5 linked regions of the Sus scrofa genome follow. Each later gene encodes a partner of the first gene's protein in a complex. Links are inferred from orthologs where the notes say so. Each region holds a gene or a part of one and is shown on either strand. Other genes may lie near its edges.

The links. The genes of interacting proteins can lie anywhere in the genome.
Region 2: MED19 (region 1) and MED7 share a complex: the UniProt entries of both Homo sapiens proteins name them as parts of the mediator complex. The link is inferred for Sus scrofa from reciprocal best matches to the Homo sapiens genes MED19 and MED7.
Region 3: MED19 (region 1) and MED31 share a complex: the UniProt entries of both Homo sapiens proteins name them as parts of the mediator complex. The link is inferred for Sus scrofa from reciprocal best matches to the Homo sapiens genes MED19 and MED31.
Region 4: MED19 (region 1) and MED8 share a complex: the UniProt entries of both Homo sapiens proteins name them as parts of the mediator complex. The link is inferred for Sus scrofa from reciprocal best matches to the Homo sapiens genes MED19 and MED8.
Region 5: MED19 (region 1) and MED21 share a complex: the UniProt entries of both Homo sapiens proteins name them as parts of the mediator complex. The link is inferred for Sus scrofa from reciprocal best matches to the Homo sapiens genes MED19 and MED21.

The regions. Positions count from the first base shown.
Region 1 is NC_010444.4:13,239,895-13,244,110, reverse strand, and holds the start of MED19 (mediator of RNA polymerase II transcription subunit 19), read right to left. Parts: upstream 2,801-4,216; 5' UTR 2,672-2,800; coding exon 2,404-2,671; intron 1-2,403. Other genes in the region: TMX2 (thioredoxin-related transmembrane protein 2), read left to right, coding at 3,076-3,264. UniProt on the Homo sapiens protein: Component of the Mediator complex, a coactivator involved in the regulated transcription of nearly all RNA polymerase II-dependent genes.
Region 2 is NC_010458.4:66,117,596-66,121,596, reverse strand, and holds the end of MED7 (mediator of RNA polymerase II transcription subunit 7), read right to left. Parts: intron 3,933-4,001; 5' UTR 3,860-3,932; intron 3,856-3,859; exon of another isoform or gene 3,754-3,855; intron 1,617-3,753; 5' UTR 1,600-1,616; coding exon 898-1,599; 3' UTR 501-897; downstream 1-500. UniProt on the Homo sapiens protein: Component of the Mediator complex, a coactivator involved in the regulated transcription of nearly all RNA polymerase II-dependent genes.
Region 3 is NC_010454.4:50,731,681-50,734,969, forward strand, and holds the end of MED31 (mediator of RNA polymerase II transcription subunit 31), read left to right. Parts: intron 1-1,548; coding exon 1,549-1,741; 3' UTR 1,742-2,789; downstream 2,790-3,289. Other genes in the region: TXNDC17 (thioredoxin domain-containing protein 17), read right to left, coding at 3,102-3,170. UniProt on the Homo sapiens protein: Component of the Mediator complex, a coactivator involved in the regulated transcription of nearly all RNA polymerase II-dependent genes.
Region 4 is NC_010448.4:167,864,363-167,866,711, forward strand, and holds part of MED8 (mediator of RNA polymerase II transcription subunit 8), read left to right. Parts: intron 1-43; coding exon 44-188; intron 189-653; coding exon 654-692; intron 693-964; coding exon 965-1,105; intron 1,106-1,297; coding exon 1,298-1,379; intron 1,380-1,900; coding exon 1,901-2,149; intron 2,150-2,349. UniProt on the Homo sapiens protein: Component of the Mediator complex, a coactivator involved in the regulated transcription of nearly all RNA polymerase II-dependent genes.
Region 5 is NC_010447.5:46,729,909-46,733,381, forward strand, and holds the end of MED21 (mediator of RNA polymerase II transcription subunit 21), read right to left. Parts: intron 2,647-3,473; coding exon 2,532-2,646; intron 1,981-2,531; coding exon 1,880-1,980; intron 976-1,879; coding exon 799-975; 3' UTR 501-798; downstream 1-500. UniProt on the Homo sapiens protein: Component of the Mediator complex, a coactivator involved in the regulated transcription of nearly all RNA polymerase II-dependent genes.

The DNA.
Region 1 (4,216 bases):
GTGGCTCTGGCTACAGCTCCGATTGGACTCCTGGCCTGGGAACCTCCATATGCTGTGGGAGCCGCCCAAGAAATAGCAAAAAAAGACAAAAAAAAAAAAAAAAAAAAATACAAGGACCAGGCTTACTCATCTCTCTCCTCTTCTCATCATATGTCTCCTTTATACCCAGGATTTGCCCAGAACAGATATTCAAGTGATTAATGTAAATAGGTACAATCAAAATAAGTTAAGGTTAAATAAACTGCTGGTAGACATCAATCACTAACTAAAGTCAAGTCAACCTCTCTATGCTTTAGTTTTTCAGCTTTAAAAAGCAGATAACAATGCCTATTTCAAGGGGCTATTGTAAGTATTAAACACTAAAACATATCTAACTGCACTGTGAATTTCAAGGTCTGTAACAAATCATTTCCCTCAGATATTTTTGGGCCATACCCATGGTACAAGGAAGTTCTAAGGCCAGGAATCGAATCCAAGCCGAAGCTGCAACCTATTGCTACAGCTGTGGCAATGCCAGATCCTTAACTGGCTAGGCCACAGTAGGAACTCCTTCTTCAGCTCTTTTTTTTTTTTTTTTTAAATCTTTACTCTCTTAGGGCTGCATTTGTGGCATATGTAAGTTCCTAGGCTAGGGGTTGAATGGGAGCTGTAGCCACTGGCCTACAATCACAGCCACAGCAACGCCGGATCCTTAACCCATTGAGCAAGGCCAGGGATCGAACCTGTGTCCTCATGGATACCAGTCAGATTCGTTTCCTCTGAGCCGTGACAGGAACTCCCCTCCTTCAGCTCTTGATGTAGCAGTAGGACTTGGGATGAACTAAATGTCATCCTGGAGACTTAACATGTCCAAAATGACTTGATATCCATCTCCTCAAACCTGTCCTTTCCTGATCTTAGCACTACCATCCACCTAATTATTCAAGCCAAACATTTCCAAACTGCCCTCAATTCCTCTGTCCTTCAATTCTATTTTCAATCCTGCATTCCTGTCAGTTCTACCTCTAACATTTATTTGGCATCCATTTACTTCTCTCCTCTACTGCTATTTCCTAGTTCAAACTATCATCTCTTTCCTGAACTACTAAGCTGTAACTTCTGACCAATTTTCCCACTTTTCTTCTTTTTTTTTAAGGGCAGCACCCAAGGCATATGGAGGTTCCCAGGCTAAGGGTCAAATCAGAGCTACAGGTGCCGGCCTACACCAGAGCCACAGCAATGCTAGAGCTGTGCTGCGTCTGCAACCTACACCACAGCACAGGACAACACTGGATCCTTAACCCACTGAGTGAGGCTAGGGATCAAACCCACAACCTCATGCTTCCTAGTCGGATTCATTTCTGCTGTGCTATGACGGGAACTCCCCCACTTTGCTTCCTTAATAGAGCTGCTCGAATGATTGAAAATAAGCAAATAAGTTAGAAGTTAGATCACTTCAGACTCTTGTGTCAAAATGGTTCCCCCTGAACTTAAAATGTCTTATAGAGGCCTCTGCCTACTCTCCCACCTTCATCTCCTATCGCTCTTTCCCTGTTCACTTCCCCGGAGTGCAAGTGGTTTTCTGTCCCTCAAATATTCAAGGTTATTCTCACATTGGGCCTTCTAATCTCATTTTTTGTATCTAGAGTTCTCTCTCCTCCCACTCATAAATGGCTAGCTCTTCCTTTGTGCTTATATTTTAGCTCTAATGTTATCTACTCAGAAAGGGCTCTCCTGATCACTCTAGCTAAAGCAGTTCTGCCCCCTCAATTCTTTATCACATTTCCCCCTTGTAGCCATAACCACTATCTGATACTATCTGTTTATCCGCAGATATCTGTTTATCACTCTTTGACTCCTCCACTGGCAGGTAAACTCCCAAACAGGCAAGGATCTTGTCAGTTTTGTTCACAGCTGTATCTTCAGCAATTGGAAGAGTGCTTGGTACACAGAGTGGGTGCGCAACAAAATAATTTTTTGAATGAAAGAACCTGGTTTAATTCTAATCACTTCTTCGAACACATTTTGAAACCCCGAGGCCCAGAGGAAGAAAGACAACATGTCCCAAACCAACAGGAAGTTTGAAGCAGATCTGGAACTGGGTCCGCAGGGATGTTAAATCAGGACCCTCAAATACCAAACTCAAAGCTAGGATAATCTTTAGGGAGTCAAAAACCAGCGTCAGGGGCAGGATCGGGCGTGAAAGGTGGTCAGGGAGATCCACTCTCTTCCCACCCCTAATCCATCCCAATTCCAATCATTCTTTCGGTTGTGAATCCTCAGAACCTCTTCTAGTATAGTGTTCCGAAATCGCGCCACGCGTTGCCTAGGTTACCCCTCACCCCAGTCGGAAGGCTGAGAGCCACGCCCCGCCTCTCCTCGCTATGATCTGATTGGCTGGCTTTGACCAGGCCTTGTACTCACCCGGCAGTTCCCGCATTAGGTAGAAGGGGCCACAACCGGCCGCTGACTTGTCGGAGCCGGGAGCGGCTGTGGCCGCGGTAGAGGGCGGGGCGGGGCCCGGCCCCCCGCCCGGAGGAGGAGGCGGTGGGGGTGGAGGTTTTCCAGGTCCGAAGCCAAGTGCGGTCGGGGGCGGTGGTGGGTCAGCCTGAGCTCCGAACAGCGCCGTGAAATTCTCCATCGCCTCCTCCGCCCCGGCGCTGTCTCGGTGTCTGGCGTTGGTGACGTTCATTGGTCAATCTTTTCACAGAGTACCGCCCTCCTCTTTCAGGAGCCTCTCACCATTGGGTTGCCTCGGGCCCTTCCTACCTTCTTCCTGCAACTACTTCCGTCGCCTTCTGAGAACGTTCCGGAAGTACTATTTAACTTTATTTAAATTCTCCTGTATCTCCTACTTGCCGCAGTCGCATATGTCCAATAAAACGATTTAGGTGGAAAAAAAGACAGCTAGATTAGCCAATAAAATATCAAAGCCCTTTCTCCATTTTTAACCTGACGCAGAAGCCAGTCAGAGATCTGCTTCCGGATCTAGAGGCGGTGCATCCGAGACTAGGCCCAATGGAAGCACAATGATGGGAGAGGCGGGACCAGGCTCACGGACTCCGTGGAGCGGCTGGCGCCGCTAGAGCCGGGAAGATGGCGGTTCTCGCGCCTTTAATTGCTCTTATTTATTCGATACCTCGACTATCACGATGGCTGGCCCGACCTTACTACCTTCTGTCAGCCCTCCTCTCTGCTGCCTTCCTACTCGTGAGGAAGCTGCCCCCTGTCTGCTACAATCTCCCCACGCAACGCGAAGACGGCAACCCGTGTGACTTTGACTGGGTGAGCGACCCCCCGCCTTAGGACCCCGCGACCTTGACACCCTGTCCTAGGTTGCATCTACGAGATGCGAGGTTCACCTGTTTGAGAACACCTGAGGTTCCCAACCTGTAGCGGACTTAAGCTATTAAGAATCTAGAGCCTGGGCGGTCGTCGAGTGTAAACCTCTTCACGTTTAAGATGGGAATACAGCGAGTTAGCCTGCCGGGGTCTTCTGACTCCTGAGTCCAAGGTCCTTTCCGTCTCACAATTCGTACCTACCCAAACGAGGCATCTGCACTGTTTTACAGTGCTGCTCTCGTTATGTAAAGCCTCTTGAGGAATCAGTGAGGTAAACAAGGCAAGTAGTAGTAATCTCGTTTCACTGATGAAGAAATTGATCTCGGCGTAGTTAGGAGACTTGTCCAAGGTCACACAACTAGTGAGTGGCTGGGACTTGAAACCACTCTTCTGGCCAAAGCAGCAGCACCATCAGTCATTTTAATTCAGTTAACAACTGCAGAGGGAGGACTGTATGCTAGGCACTGTGCTGCATCCTGAGAATGTAAAAATGAATAAAGTTTTAGGCCTATTGAAATGGAATTGTAAAAAAAATTCATTGTAAAGAAATCAATCTGAACTCTCTTGCAGTACTTCCTAAGTAGAAGTGGAAGGACCACTCAGAAAAATAAGATGAAGTTCTGTGCCCCCTTCTGTATAGCTGAATCTGTGTTACGAGGAAGGAGGGCCTTCCTGAGTTTTTGTCTTTTTTTTTTTCCAGGTCCCAGAATGAGTCTTGACTTTTGACAGAACTTACTTCCTTACTTTTATTCTCCTTCCCTTGTTTACTTTTTCGTACTTCCGCCGTTCTTTCCCAGTGTTATTAAGTAGCTCATGTATAGCTGTGGTGCTTCAAAAGATCCATTTGGGGGGCAGGGGGGCGAACCTGCGGGGTATGGAGGTTCCCAGGCTAGGG
Region 2 (4,001 bases), on another chromosome or scaffold:
CGAGGCAAAAAATTTTTATGGGGCAGGCCTAGATTTTTACACCATATTTCACTGTTAAGAACTCAGTCACGTGGCCTCACAGATATGCAAGGGGAATGGAGAAATGAAGTCCCTGGCAGGGCAGCACATCTCAGGGGAGCAAGAATCTCCAGTGGACATCCAGCAGTCTCTGCCACCAAGCCCCCTACCCATAGCAGGCTTCCAGCCTTAAGCAACTCCAAGTTTAGGAAATGTAATGTATGGGCACCTTAATTATTAAAGTGAATATAACTATAAGTGATCAAAGGACTTGTCACAGTGGCCAGAAGAAAGTTCTGGAACCCATCCAGAATAAGGACCAAGAGGCTGGGATAGAATATTTATAAGGCGCAGTCAAGAGGAAAAATAAAATTACTGTTTTATAACTCTTATGGGGTTTCTCTCTTTTAACATGTAACACTATTTTTTTTTAAAGAGATTAAGCCATCTTTTAAGAGGAATAAATCAAAAGATTTCCTAAGTTCACATTTACATAGTTTGATATCCTTTATTATTTATCACTCTTAAAGCAAATGACAAATCTACTTTCCAAGGACGAAAGCTTGCAATTACTGAGGATATCTTCCAGCTCACTGCACCTCTGAAAACAGGGACGTTCCACCCAATAGCAGCGAACACTGCCCTTCACGGTGATTACTCTCACTGGGGCACTACATTTAAGCTAAGTAGGAATCTAGCTATGCTTGCCACAGACGAAAATACTGCCTGTGACGTCCCACAACTGATAAAGCTGGAGAGTCAAGCTGTTCGCGTGCCTTCTACTAGTTGTATCTCTTCAAAGAATTCTCTAAAAGTGAATTAACTAATATATATGCTATTTACTGAAAGGAAAAAATCAGCAAGGAAAAGAAACATCTTTCACGGTCTTTCATTCATTTCATCAATGAGGACACACAAGGCAGCATCTTTCTCTATAATCTGGTCTCTCCTATGACCTGAATTTTCTCTTTGTTGGTCACTCTGTCCAGTACAATTGTTGCTATCATCAGCGTCCATTGGTTCAGCTTTTACTCTCATCCCTGCTTCTGAATGGGGCAAGTCATCAGGCAAAGAAGCCAAGCAATTCTGAATCATCTCAATGACTCGTTCCAGATGCTTCTGAAACCTCTCTGCTGTCTCAAGGCGTTGCCGCTTCTGCACCTCCATCATGACTCTCAGGGTCTCTCTGGCTTGGTGGGGCCGGTATTCATTTATGAGATGATGTACATGCACAAAAAGCAGCTTAAGATCTTCTAGCTTCTCTTCCCGTTTTATACTCCCAGGACTCCTTATCAAGATATCTAAGAGATCTAAGAAATTAATAAGGATAGACATATTGAGTTTTCTCAGTTCTTTCTTGTGATCAAACTGCATAGGATGAAGCCGTTCGATACCCTGACTTTCCAAAGGGCGGATGATAAGATCATCACATTGGAACTGGTTGCCAAACATCATGTAACTGTCTTTTATTGGAGGTGGAGGCTTGGGAGCGAGGCCTTCCTGAATGTTTTCATCTGTGTATTCCTTGATGTACTGCATCGGAGGTGGCGGAAGGGCACTCACTTGCTGTGGCTCACCCATTGCAGAAGATCACAAACCTACAGAAACAGACCGAAGATTGAGAGTAGAGCTACAGAACAAACCTGCCACACTTAGTGACTACAAACAAGGTTATTTCCCTTTTTTTCTCACGGCAGTTTGGGGCCCAGGACAAAAAGAGTTCTTTTATTTCTAAAACTAACATTTATAACACAGAAAGGCTGCCATCCTTTTCTAATTAGCATTATATACTCAACTATCCAGATTTTTTTTCTTTTCTTTTCTACCTAATACTTTCACAGGCACAAAAAATATACTGTAGCATACAGATGACCCTTGAACACAGGTTGGAACTGGAAAATCTATACTCAGGTTTCCAATTGCACAGAGGGGAGGCACCCCTAATCTCTTGAGTTGTTCAAGAGTTGATTGTATTTTCAGCTATAAAGGAAATCTTCTGGTTTCCACACCCCTCACCAGTTATGCCCTATTTCTCTACCTCTCTTTATAGTCAACTACACATGCTGTCTCCCCAGCTGAGGTTACAACACTTTTATTTTATATTATAGATGCATTTCCAAAAGCAAACGCTAACTTATGGTCTAAGAAACACCTTGACAAAATTAAAATTGCTATATTCCAGACAAGTTCACATCGTCTGTGCTTTTTTGATAAAATGACCCAATTCCATACCCTCTTTTTCTGCAATGTACTCAACTATTTTTTATAGACACGTTAACTTTTCTACATCCACTAAAGAAATTTCAAATCCAAATATATCTTCAAGAGCCACAATAACCTCTATTTATTCCATTTTAAGCTTAGGTATATCAAAAAAAAAAATGGTAAGATCTCGAGTGCTCACTTAGACTGATCTTATCAGATTTTCAAGACATAACACTGGAAGTTCCCATTGTGGCTCAGTGGTAATGAGCCCGACTAGTATCCATGAGGACTCAGGTTCGATCCCTGGCCTCGCTCAGTAGGTTAAGGATCTGGCATTGCTGTGAGCTATGGTGGAAGTCGCAGACTCAGCTATGATCTGGTGCTGCTGTGGTACAGGCCAGCATCTGCAGCTACAATTCGACCCCTAACCTGGGAATTTCCATATGCTGCAGGTGTGACCCTAAAAAGGAAAAAAAAAAAAAAGATATGACACCACCCAACGTCAGAGATAACAGGTAAAATACTGGATGCCGTTTTATACTTGGAATGTATGAGGTACTAAAGGCAGCTGCCCAGTAGCTCCAAGTTTCCACCAAGCCACAGAGGTGACGAACAAGATGCTGCTGAGAGTCAGTGAGGCAGTGGCCGTGGGCATCATGAGTTACTCGAACTAAACCAACCACAATTACTGCTGTACCAGCCTTCCCCTCATTCATTTTGTCACTACCCAGTATGGTATCAACCTCCTACCTCCACAAAAACTACTCATCAAGGTCATCAACAATCTCCACATGACCAAATCCCATGGACTTTAAGGGGATCTTAATCTCTTAGCATTCTCTTTTTTTTTTTTTTTTTTTTTTTTTAATGGCCGCACCTGCGGCATATATAAGTCCCAGGCTAGAGGTCGAATCAGAGCTGCAGCTGTCAGCCACAGCCACGCTGGATATGAGACCTATACCAGTTTGTGGCAATGCCAGATCCATAATCCACTAAGCAAGGCCAGGGATTGAACCTGCATCCTCATGAATACTAGTCAAAACTCTCAGCAGCATTTCCTTAATTTGCAATACACTCCGCTTCTCCTCCAGCTTCAGTGATCCTACATTTTCATTTTCCTCTACCCCACTGGCCACTCCTTCTCAGTATCCTTTACCGCCCTTTCTTCTCTATCCAAATTTTAATGTTGGCATGCCTCAGAGGGCTGCCCTAAATGAGAATCACAAACTCAAATACCAAAGGGAAAAGGCAGGCAATATAAAGAGTGAAGCACTCTGAGGCAGGGATTAGGGCAAACTGAGCATCTGCCTGCCAGACTTGAAAGCTTCCTGCCACTAGCATTCATGTGGGAAAGAAGATTCATTGTTTCTCAGTTTCTTGATGTTTCAAGGGCAAACCCCCATATTTTTACATGAAATCTCTCAAGTTTTAAAAATACTGGCAATTAATTCCAGAAATTGTCAAGTACTGCGAGGTCAAAAAGAATTATCTGTAACAATCGTTGTTGCCTGCTGATCAGTAATTTTAGACCTGTTTCGTGTTCTCCCTTGGATGGTCTCAGTCAATTCCACAGCTTTAAATACCATTTCTACAGTGGTTCTCAACCAGGCATGATTTTGCCCACCAGAAGACATACGGTAAATGTCTTTCTGTTAACTCTTGGTTTTTTATCTCCAGACTGCGTCTGGGCTCCTTCTGGATGTTTCAAACTAGAAAAGAAAAAAAAAAAAAGTTCTCTGATTCCATCTACCGTATATACCCACACCCTACACCTGTTC
Region 3 (3,289 bases), on another chromosome or scaffold:
AGTGAGGCCGGGGGTCGAATCTGAGTCCTCATGGATGCTAGTTGGGTTCGTTAACCATTGAGCCACGATGGGAACTCCTCTGTGGTGATGCCTTTTTTTTTTCTTTTTTTGTCTTTTCACACCCATACCTGCAGCATATGGAGGTTCCCAGGCTAGGGGTCTAATTGGAGCTGTAGCCTCGACCTACACCACAGCCACAGCAACGCGGGATCCGAGCTGTGTCTGCGACCTACACTACAGCTCACCCCCCTGGCAACACCGGATCCTTAACCCACTGAGCGAGGCCAGGGATCAAACCCGCAACCTCATGGTTCCTAGTCGGATTTGTTAGCCACTGTGCCACAACGGGACCTCCTGTGGTGATATTCTTGATTCCATCATTCTCTGTTCATTTATTAGTTGGAATTCACTTGAAGGAACGTTTCCTTGTTTCTGATTTCTTTCTTCATTTTAAAAGGTTAAATCAATATGGATTCTTTATCTTGTGGATTGTAATTTTTTATTTTCTTATGCTAGTGATCCCAGATGTAGCCAGTGGGAACCCCTTCAAATTGGCTCTTGAGGACTTTTGACATAGCCGCCTAATCTTTAGAGCATTTTCCTTTCTGGCACTACATATATTCCAGGCTCATCTTGTTCTTTCCCTGTGTTAGCTATGCCAACAAACCCTGGATAATGCTATTTAAAACCCACGACCTGGATACTCAGTGTACTCTTGGTACTGGAGTGCCATTGCTTCTAGGCCTTCTCTGCACGTAAAGCAAGGAACAGTGTGTGTGTGTGTGTGTGTGTGTGTGTGTGTGTGTGTGTGTGTGTGTGTGTCTATGTGTCTATTTCTGTATCTGTCTCTATATGTTAAAAGCCACTCAGTTCATACTGATGTTTTCAATTCCAGCTCAACAACAGGATTCTTTCTAGCCTCCCCCCTTCCTTATCTGAGATTCCTTTCCTGAGAGCTGGATATTTGGCTATTTACAGTGTACATACTTATGTATTTGCTCAATCTTAGCATATATGTACATAATTTCAAAATTGTTATATCCCTATGGAAAACTAGGATACAATATTTGTGCATAGTTCTTTCTGAAACTGACTCACTTTTAAAATAAAAGCTGTCTTTTTATCATTATTTATGGAAAACCAATAGGTGTTAATTAAACCCACAATTACTAAAATAAATAGTGTTCATGTTTATCACCTTGAAAACCACTGGAATAGAATAGCATGATTTGCCCCCAAATGTTGACTGTTTACCAGTTATTGTGTAGTCTTAGGCAAGTTATTTAATCTTTCTAAATTTAAGTTTGCTCACTTTTGAAAATTTTGCTGGCTTTTGATGATAAGCTTTTCTGTATAAGCAAAAAAAAAAAAAAAAGAACTGTACTATCAAGATAGACTAAGTTAATGTTAGGTTGCAGGATCATCTGGTATGGTAACACAAATGATACCGTAGAAATGGTAGGCTGCAGGATCGTTTTTGAATAACAACTAGAGCATGGTGTTATTGACTTAATTATGTTGATAATTAACTTATAAACTTAACCCCAGGTACCCTCAGTGTTTACACATGTTAGAACTGCTCCAATATGAACACTTCCGCAAGGAGCTGGTGAATGCTCAATGTGCAAAATTCATTGATGAGCAGCAAATTCTGCATTGGCAGCACTATTCCCGGAAGCGGATGCGCCTTCAGCAAGCCCTGGCAGAGCAGCAACAGCAAAATAACACATCAGGAAAGTGAAAAGCTGATCCAGACCAGGCTCTTACGACATGTATATATTGCTTTTGTACATGAAGACAGAAAAAGACTCTTGCTCCGAACCTTTATTGTGACAGCACCCAGAACCGATAGTGTGCTATTTAATTGAACTAATTTTTTATTCTCAATAGATTATTTCTTTTAAACTAGAATTGTTCTTTCTCTGTGGATCTGTAAGCTTTCATTAGTATTTAATAGTCAACTGACTAAGAGTAGAAATGTTAGGTGCTTCAGACCAATTTTAGAGTTGGGGAGCTGGGGCAAGGGGAGAGCCACCAAATATCCCAAAGTTTAAGCAAAACTGTTCATGATGAACAGTGGGACCAGGGGCAAATCTGTCTCTAGGAACCTTGCTGTCCCCTCAGATCAGCTACGGCACCCTTCTAAGGAGTGAGAGAAGTGGAATCAGTGACCTCTACACATCAAAGCAGGAACTGCATAAATTTCCTACATTCTGCAGGGCAGGAGGCATACCTGGAGCACCAGCTACTTTGCAGGAGAGCCTTAAGGGAGAATTGAGGTCAGGGAGTGTTTGTGGTTAATTACTAATAGGACTCTCGACCTTAGACTATAACAAAGGTGAGGTGCCTCAGATACTTGTGCTCATTTGGGAAAGCTAACTTTTTTTTTTTGGCAGATACCACAAACCAGGCACTATGTTAAGTGCTTAGTTGCATTCTCATTTTATCCTTAGAACAGTCCTTGTTCATAAAGGAGAACACTTAGGTGTAGACAAGTTAGGAACCTTGCCTGTGGTTACACAGCTAGTAGGTGATAGTCAGTGAGACTGGCTAAAAGGCTAGGTTATATGGCCTCCCACCACTAGGTTGTATGGCTTCTGACCTCTCCGCCACCTGCCTCATCCCGCACAATCAGACAGCTGTAAAACAAAAGCAGGGGCTGGATTAGATGTGCCTTGCTATCCTTCAGTGGTTAGATTAAGTTCTACATTCTAAAGCCAAAGATGTTTTAGGATAACAGTTCTTTTGTAAGTTCATGGAATTTAAAGTAAAAGATCCTAACTTCTTTAGAAGTCTGGAAACTATCTTCTTCACTATCAGCGGCTTTTAGATATTTCTGCCCATCTCCAATAATATCCTCCCCTTTGGGCTACTACTGCTACTCCTGAAGACTTAGTTTATCCTTAGTTCAAACATATCCATATATTAAAGCAGACTAAGGGTTCATGAGCATTTTAATTGTACTCTCTATTATTTAGACATACACAGTTTTTCTTTTAATCATCATTTATTTATTGCTAACATGAATTCAAAGCAAGTGTGCAGTTTCTTTTATACTAGAGCAAATCAGGAAATCAAGACACAATTGCCATCATCAAATCTTACTCTTCAGAGAACAACATCTCCACGAGGTTGGTCTGAAGACACTCAGATTCTACCAGTTTTTGAGGCTGTAAAAGAAGAACAGTCTTATTTTAACCCATCACTACAAAAATGTTATTAGGAGGGGAATGAGTTCTGCCTTGAATGACACAGATCTTGGAACAGAAATTATCAACTAGTTGTAACA
Region 4 (2,349 bases), on another chromosome or scaffold:
CTACTTTCCTGAGCACGTTCTGACACCTTCTTACCACCACCAGGCCGTCTGTCCTGGACAGCTTTGCCTTGCTTTCCGGACAGTTAAACACTCTGAACAAAGTCTTGAAGCATGAAAAGACACCGCTGTTCCGTAACCAGGTCATCATCCCTCTGGTGCTGTCCCCAGACCGAGATGAAGACCTCATGGTAAGAGGCAGAGGGTGCAACTTGGGCAGTTGAATCCTTAGACGAGGACTTAGAGCACAGCTGTTGGGCGGCTCTTCTGGAAGTTCTGAATGTGCAGTAGGACGTCACCATGAGAAGTGAGACCTGGGAGTTCCCATCGTGGCTCAGTGGGTTAGGAACCCGACTGGCATCCATGAGGATGCGGGTTTGATCCCTGGCCTTGCTCTGGGTTAAGGATCTGCTGTTGCCGCGAGCTGTGGTGTAGGTTGCAGAGGCGCCTGGGATCTGGCGTGGCTGTGGCTGTGGCGTAGGCCAGCGGCTGTAGCTCTGATTGGACCCCTAGCCTGGGAACCTCTGTATGCCGTGGGTGCGGCCCTAGGAAGAAAAAAAGAAAATCAGTGAGGGCTGCATTTTGATTGTGGAGCCCTTGCTTTTTCCTTCTGGAGTTGGGAGAGCCACTCCTAAATAGCATTGAATTTACTCCAGGTCTGCATCACCAGGGCCGACACAGTTCTCGAACAAAAAGTATGTTCTTTTGTGACGTTCTCTCTTTCGGTCTTTGATGAAAGTGTGGCAGAGGGAGGTTTATCCCTGGGTCCCGTAGAGGTGGGGATGGGAGGAGACAGAAATGAAGGCTGGAGTGAGGGGAACAGTGTCCTGGAAAAAGCCGGATATTGTAAGTGTCTGGTTGTTTTCCCTGAAAGTGCAGTGTCTGTCTGGAGAAGGAACGATGTGTGTATCAGGCAAGAGGGAGCCTTCCTGGCCGGCACAGTAGATGAGTAAAATCTGTGTTACAGCGGCAGACGGAAGGACGGGTGCCTGTGTTTAGCCATGAGGTGGTCCCTGACCATCTGAGAACGAAGCCTGACCCTGAGGTGGAAGAGCAAGAGAAGCAGCTGACCACGGACGCTGCCCGCATCGGTGCTGATGCGGCTCAGGTGGGACTGGGTCACTGCCCTGCTGCCCCCTACCCCAGGTTTTATCCTGGGAAGCTGGGCGTTCTCCCTGCTCCTGGTAGGGATGTACAGTTGGTTTCACCCAGGTTGCCCTCGAAAGAGCACAAGGAAGAAACCTCCCTGGAATCATTTCTTGCTTGCCCTAATCTCTGCACACATTTATGTGTTTTACAGAAGCAGATCCAGAGCTTGAATAAAATGTGCTCAAACCTTCTGGAGAAAATCAGCAAAGAGGAACGAGAATCAGAGGGTGGAGGTACGGAGGGAGCGGCGGCAGAGCGGAGGAGGGAAGAGGGCTGAGGTCACTGGAGGAGGCAGGGTGGGTTTTTGTTTGTTTTTGTTTTTGTTTTTATTTGGCCACACCTGCAGCACACAGACGTTTCCGGGCCAGGGATGGAACCGGTGCCACAGCAGCGACCCAAGCCGCTGCGGTGACAACCCCGGATCCTGAACCCACTGTGCCACGGGAGAACTGTGGAAGGGCGGTTTCGGTCGTGGTGCAGGGGGGACGTCAGGCTGTGCTGCTTCGGAAAGAGCCTGCGTGCATTCGTCAGCCTTTTACACTCACGGCTGGCCTGGAGCAGGTGGAGGAGGTGGGCCCAGGGGGCAGGGAGGAGTCAGGTGGTCCGGGGGTCCTCCGGCTCTGCCTCGGAGCTGCCCGGGAGTCCAGGTGCTGCCGAAGTCAGAGCTCCGAGCCCCGGCACTCACACTGGTCTGTGCTGCTCAGTCCGTCCGGGCCAGAGGCGTACCTCAGGGTCCCCTCGCCTTTTGCTTCAGGTCTCCGGCCGAACAAGCAGACCTTTAACCCAGCAGACACTAACGCCTTAGTGGCAGCCGTTGCCTTTGGGAAGGGACTGTCTAACTGGAGGCCTTCAGGCAGCAGTGGTCCCGGCCAGCCGGGCCAGCCGGGCGCCGGGACAGTCCTCGCAGGAGCCTCAGGGTTACAGCAGGTGCAGATGGCCGGAGCGCCAAGTCAGCAGCAGCCGATGCTCAGTGGGGTGCAGATGGCCCAAGCAGGTCAGCCAGGTAAGGTGACAGGGGTTGGCATGGTGGCAGACCTTGGGCAGGGGATGGGAGTGAGCTGGGTTATCTAGGCCCCCAGCAGCTGGAGATGTTCTCCTCTCCTCCCTTGGACTGTGACCCAGAACAAGTTTGAGGAGTAAAGCTCTCATTCGAGCCTCCGTTTATAATAGGCAGCAGGCAGTGAGGAAGACCTCTGACTAGCA
Region 5 (3,473 bases), on another chromosome or scaffold:
GGAACCTCCATATGCCGCAGGAGCAGCCCAAGAAATGGCAAAAAGACCAAAAAAAAAAAAAAAAAAAAAGAAAGAAAGAAAAAGAAGAAAAAGCTTCCACAAAAGTGACTTAATCTTTCATCTGGCCACACTCTCTGCTTCTTAAAAAGCAATGTGGTTTTCAGAACCATTCCTTGCTCCAGCTCCAAATTTATACAATGTCACCTTTATTTTATTTTTTTCTTTTTGGCTGTGCCCGTGGCATGCAGAAGTTCCAGGGCCAGGGACTGAACCCTTGCCACAGCAGTGACACAAGCCACTGCAGTGACAACACTAGATCCCCGATCCACTGCACCAGAACTCTACAATGTCACTTTTAAAGAGGCAGAAGGATATCAACCTAAATTCAAATATCCACCATTTCTGCATTTACCATCTTCTTCTCTAGCTTGGGGGATGTTTTCACTTGTACAGGCTGTAGAAACAGGACAAAAATAAAGACAAATTATGTCACAATAGAATTCTATAGTACATCTGTTTAATTATATTCTGACTGTAAGTGCAATATCTGCCTCAATAATTTCACTCAAAATACAAAATAATAGCATAATGACAGTTTAAAGCTGGTTCAATCACAATTTTACAAGCTTATTTATTAAAAATGAAAATAGAAGACTATTAAAAATAGCTAAAAAGATAACGTGTCATAGTGCTTAATGTTTCTCTAACTATCGATAAGGCTTACATCTAAATCTGATGTAGAATTCTTAACGGCACTGAAATAGTTCTCTTCTTGGCCACATGATATGTACACTGGTGCTATGAGTCTGGAAGAGACTGGCTGTGGGTACCACTTCTTGTCTTCAGCTGTGACTGCGCAATATCAGCAAGGGCACTCTGTATCTTTTCCAGAAGCATATCCCCTCGATAAACAACATCCTCCAGACATGTAGCAGCTTCATGATTTTCTTCTTCTAGCTTATACAAGCTGGCAGCCTTTATAAGACATAAATTTAAGAATCTTTTGACAAATGAAAAACTTGGAGATTATTTCCTTCTAAGGAAATAAACTGCAGTGGAAGTACCTACTTCTAAATCTGGATGACTGTGCAACCACTGTGATAGATTTTTCAGTGGCATAAATCCTCAGATCAGATATAACTTGAGAATTTTCCCTGTATGAACTATTTAAAAGATGACTTTTCAATGAGAGCTCTCTAGATTGCTATAGGAGACTCCTTTCCACACTGCTTTTAGACACTATGCTCTATTCCACGTCCGGAATGCTACCTTCCTCTCACTCTTTCCAAGGAAAAGAATCAAACTGAGGAAAATGGGAAGTTTCCTCATAACTCAAAATTGGACAACTATACATATTCAGTGCAGTCTTTAATAGACTACAGTAGTTTCCAATAAAATTCCCATTTTAAAATTGAGAGTACCTTTTAATATTATAATAAAAGGAATTAAAGGGGTTCTCTTGTGGCACAGTGGGATACAGATCTCACTGTAGCAGGCCAGGTCACTGCTGTGGAACAGGTTTAATCCCTGGCCTGGGAACTTTTACATGGCATAGGCACAGCCAAAAATTAAAAAAAAAAAAAAATTTCTTTAAAAAAGGAAAAAGGGTACTAAAGCTATCTCCTTTAATTCAAATGCATCTGAACCATATGGAAGCTCCCAGGCTAGTAGTCAAATCAGAGCTGCAGCTTCCAGCCTACACCACAGCCACAGCAACACAGGATCCAAGCCGAATCTGCGACCAACACACAGCTCACCACAATGCCAGATCCTTAACCCACTGAGTTAGGCTAAGGACTGAACCCGAATCCTCATGGATACTAGTTAGGTTCACTACTTCTGAGCCACAACGGGGAACTCCAGAAAAAGAGATTTTTACCTGTAAAGCAGCTGTAGATTCTTCACTGGGTAAGGAATCTATCAAAACATCAATGTCTTTTGCCGTTCGTGCAATCAGCGCTGCAAATAGCTGGGCATATTCTAGAGAAAGATTGTACTCATTTAGGGTATTTGAGAACCTCAAGTTTATAGAAACAGCAATCAAATTTTAAGTTAATGAAACAAAAAAACTTCTTAACTTTTTCTGTCCTAGGCTTCTAATGATTAAGGTGTAATTTTAACACATTAATCCTATTACATGTTTGAGAATCAGCTTTAACATTAACTCAAGTTAGGAATCAAGCATAATGTACATTATGTATCAGGACAATTTGATGATCATTTGAATAAAGGAATTTATGAGATGCCTTTCTTATTAAGGTCCCTGAAGTAAAATTCAGCTAAATTCATATAATTCTCCTCTAAAGGAGTAAAAAATCCATTATTTAACATAAAAAGAACTACGAGGTGTTATATAAACTAACAAAAATTTATTTCTTTTATGACAAACTTGTAGTAACATTCTCTAACAATAACATTTTTAGAAAGCCGTGAATAAGATGAATTTTTCAATAAATCTAATTTTATGGGATTAAAGGCAATGAGGGAGAGTCAAATTAAAAGAAGCCAAAAAAAAAAAAAAATCTATTTACCTTCTGTAGGATTAGCTGGCTGATCTTTGTTAATGGTTGTCTGAATATTACTGAAAGAGGCAGGAGGACCACACTGCTGCAACACTCCAATGGCATTACAAAACTGATCTGCAAGCTACAGGCCAAAAGAAATGTGGCAAAATTAGAAAGGATTTATCAGCTTTCAGGATTTTATTGGCATTGATGATGTTTCTATAATGATCACTGAGCAAGAGAATAAAATATGATAAATCCTGGATTAAGCCAGTTACTAACAACGAAATATTTTAATCATGCAAAGAAACTTCCTTTGGCATTTATTTAGTTGCAACAGTTAAAGAGAAACACAAAATAATTATTTTTCTTCCCGAGATAACAGAATGATAACAGAAATATATGCCAATACTGATTGCAAGCACAAGTTAAGACTTTTAGCGCAACAGTGGTAGAAAAAAGCAAATCTGACAGGCAAATATCTAAAATTTACCCCAGGGTAAATTTTAAAATTTGACTCCAAGGCATATGATTCCTTTTCTGAAACCAGAGTAATTACAACTATAAAGAAATGGTGGGAGAAAGACCACACCTTAAGTATTCCAAAATGTTTTTCTTGGGAGTTCTTATTGTGGCTCAGCAGTAATGAACCTGACTAGTATCCATGAGTATGCAGGTTCAACCCCTGACCTCACTCAGTGGGTTAAGGATCCAGTGTTGCCACGAGCTGTGGTGCAGGCGGCAGATGCAACTCAGACCTAGAGTGGCTGTGGCTGTGCTATGGTATAAGCCGGCAGCTACAGCTCCAATTTGACCCCTAGCCCGGGAACTTCTGTATGCTGCTGGTACAGCCCTAAATAAAAAAGACCAAAACAACAAAACAAAATTTTTTTCTCCAGGACTCAAGCTATAAACTTCTAGTGCTCTAAAAGTTCTAAAGGTCAAGAATAACAAACCCTTACTGAAACC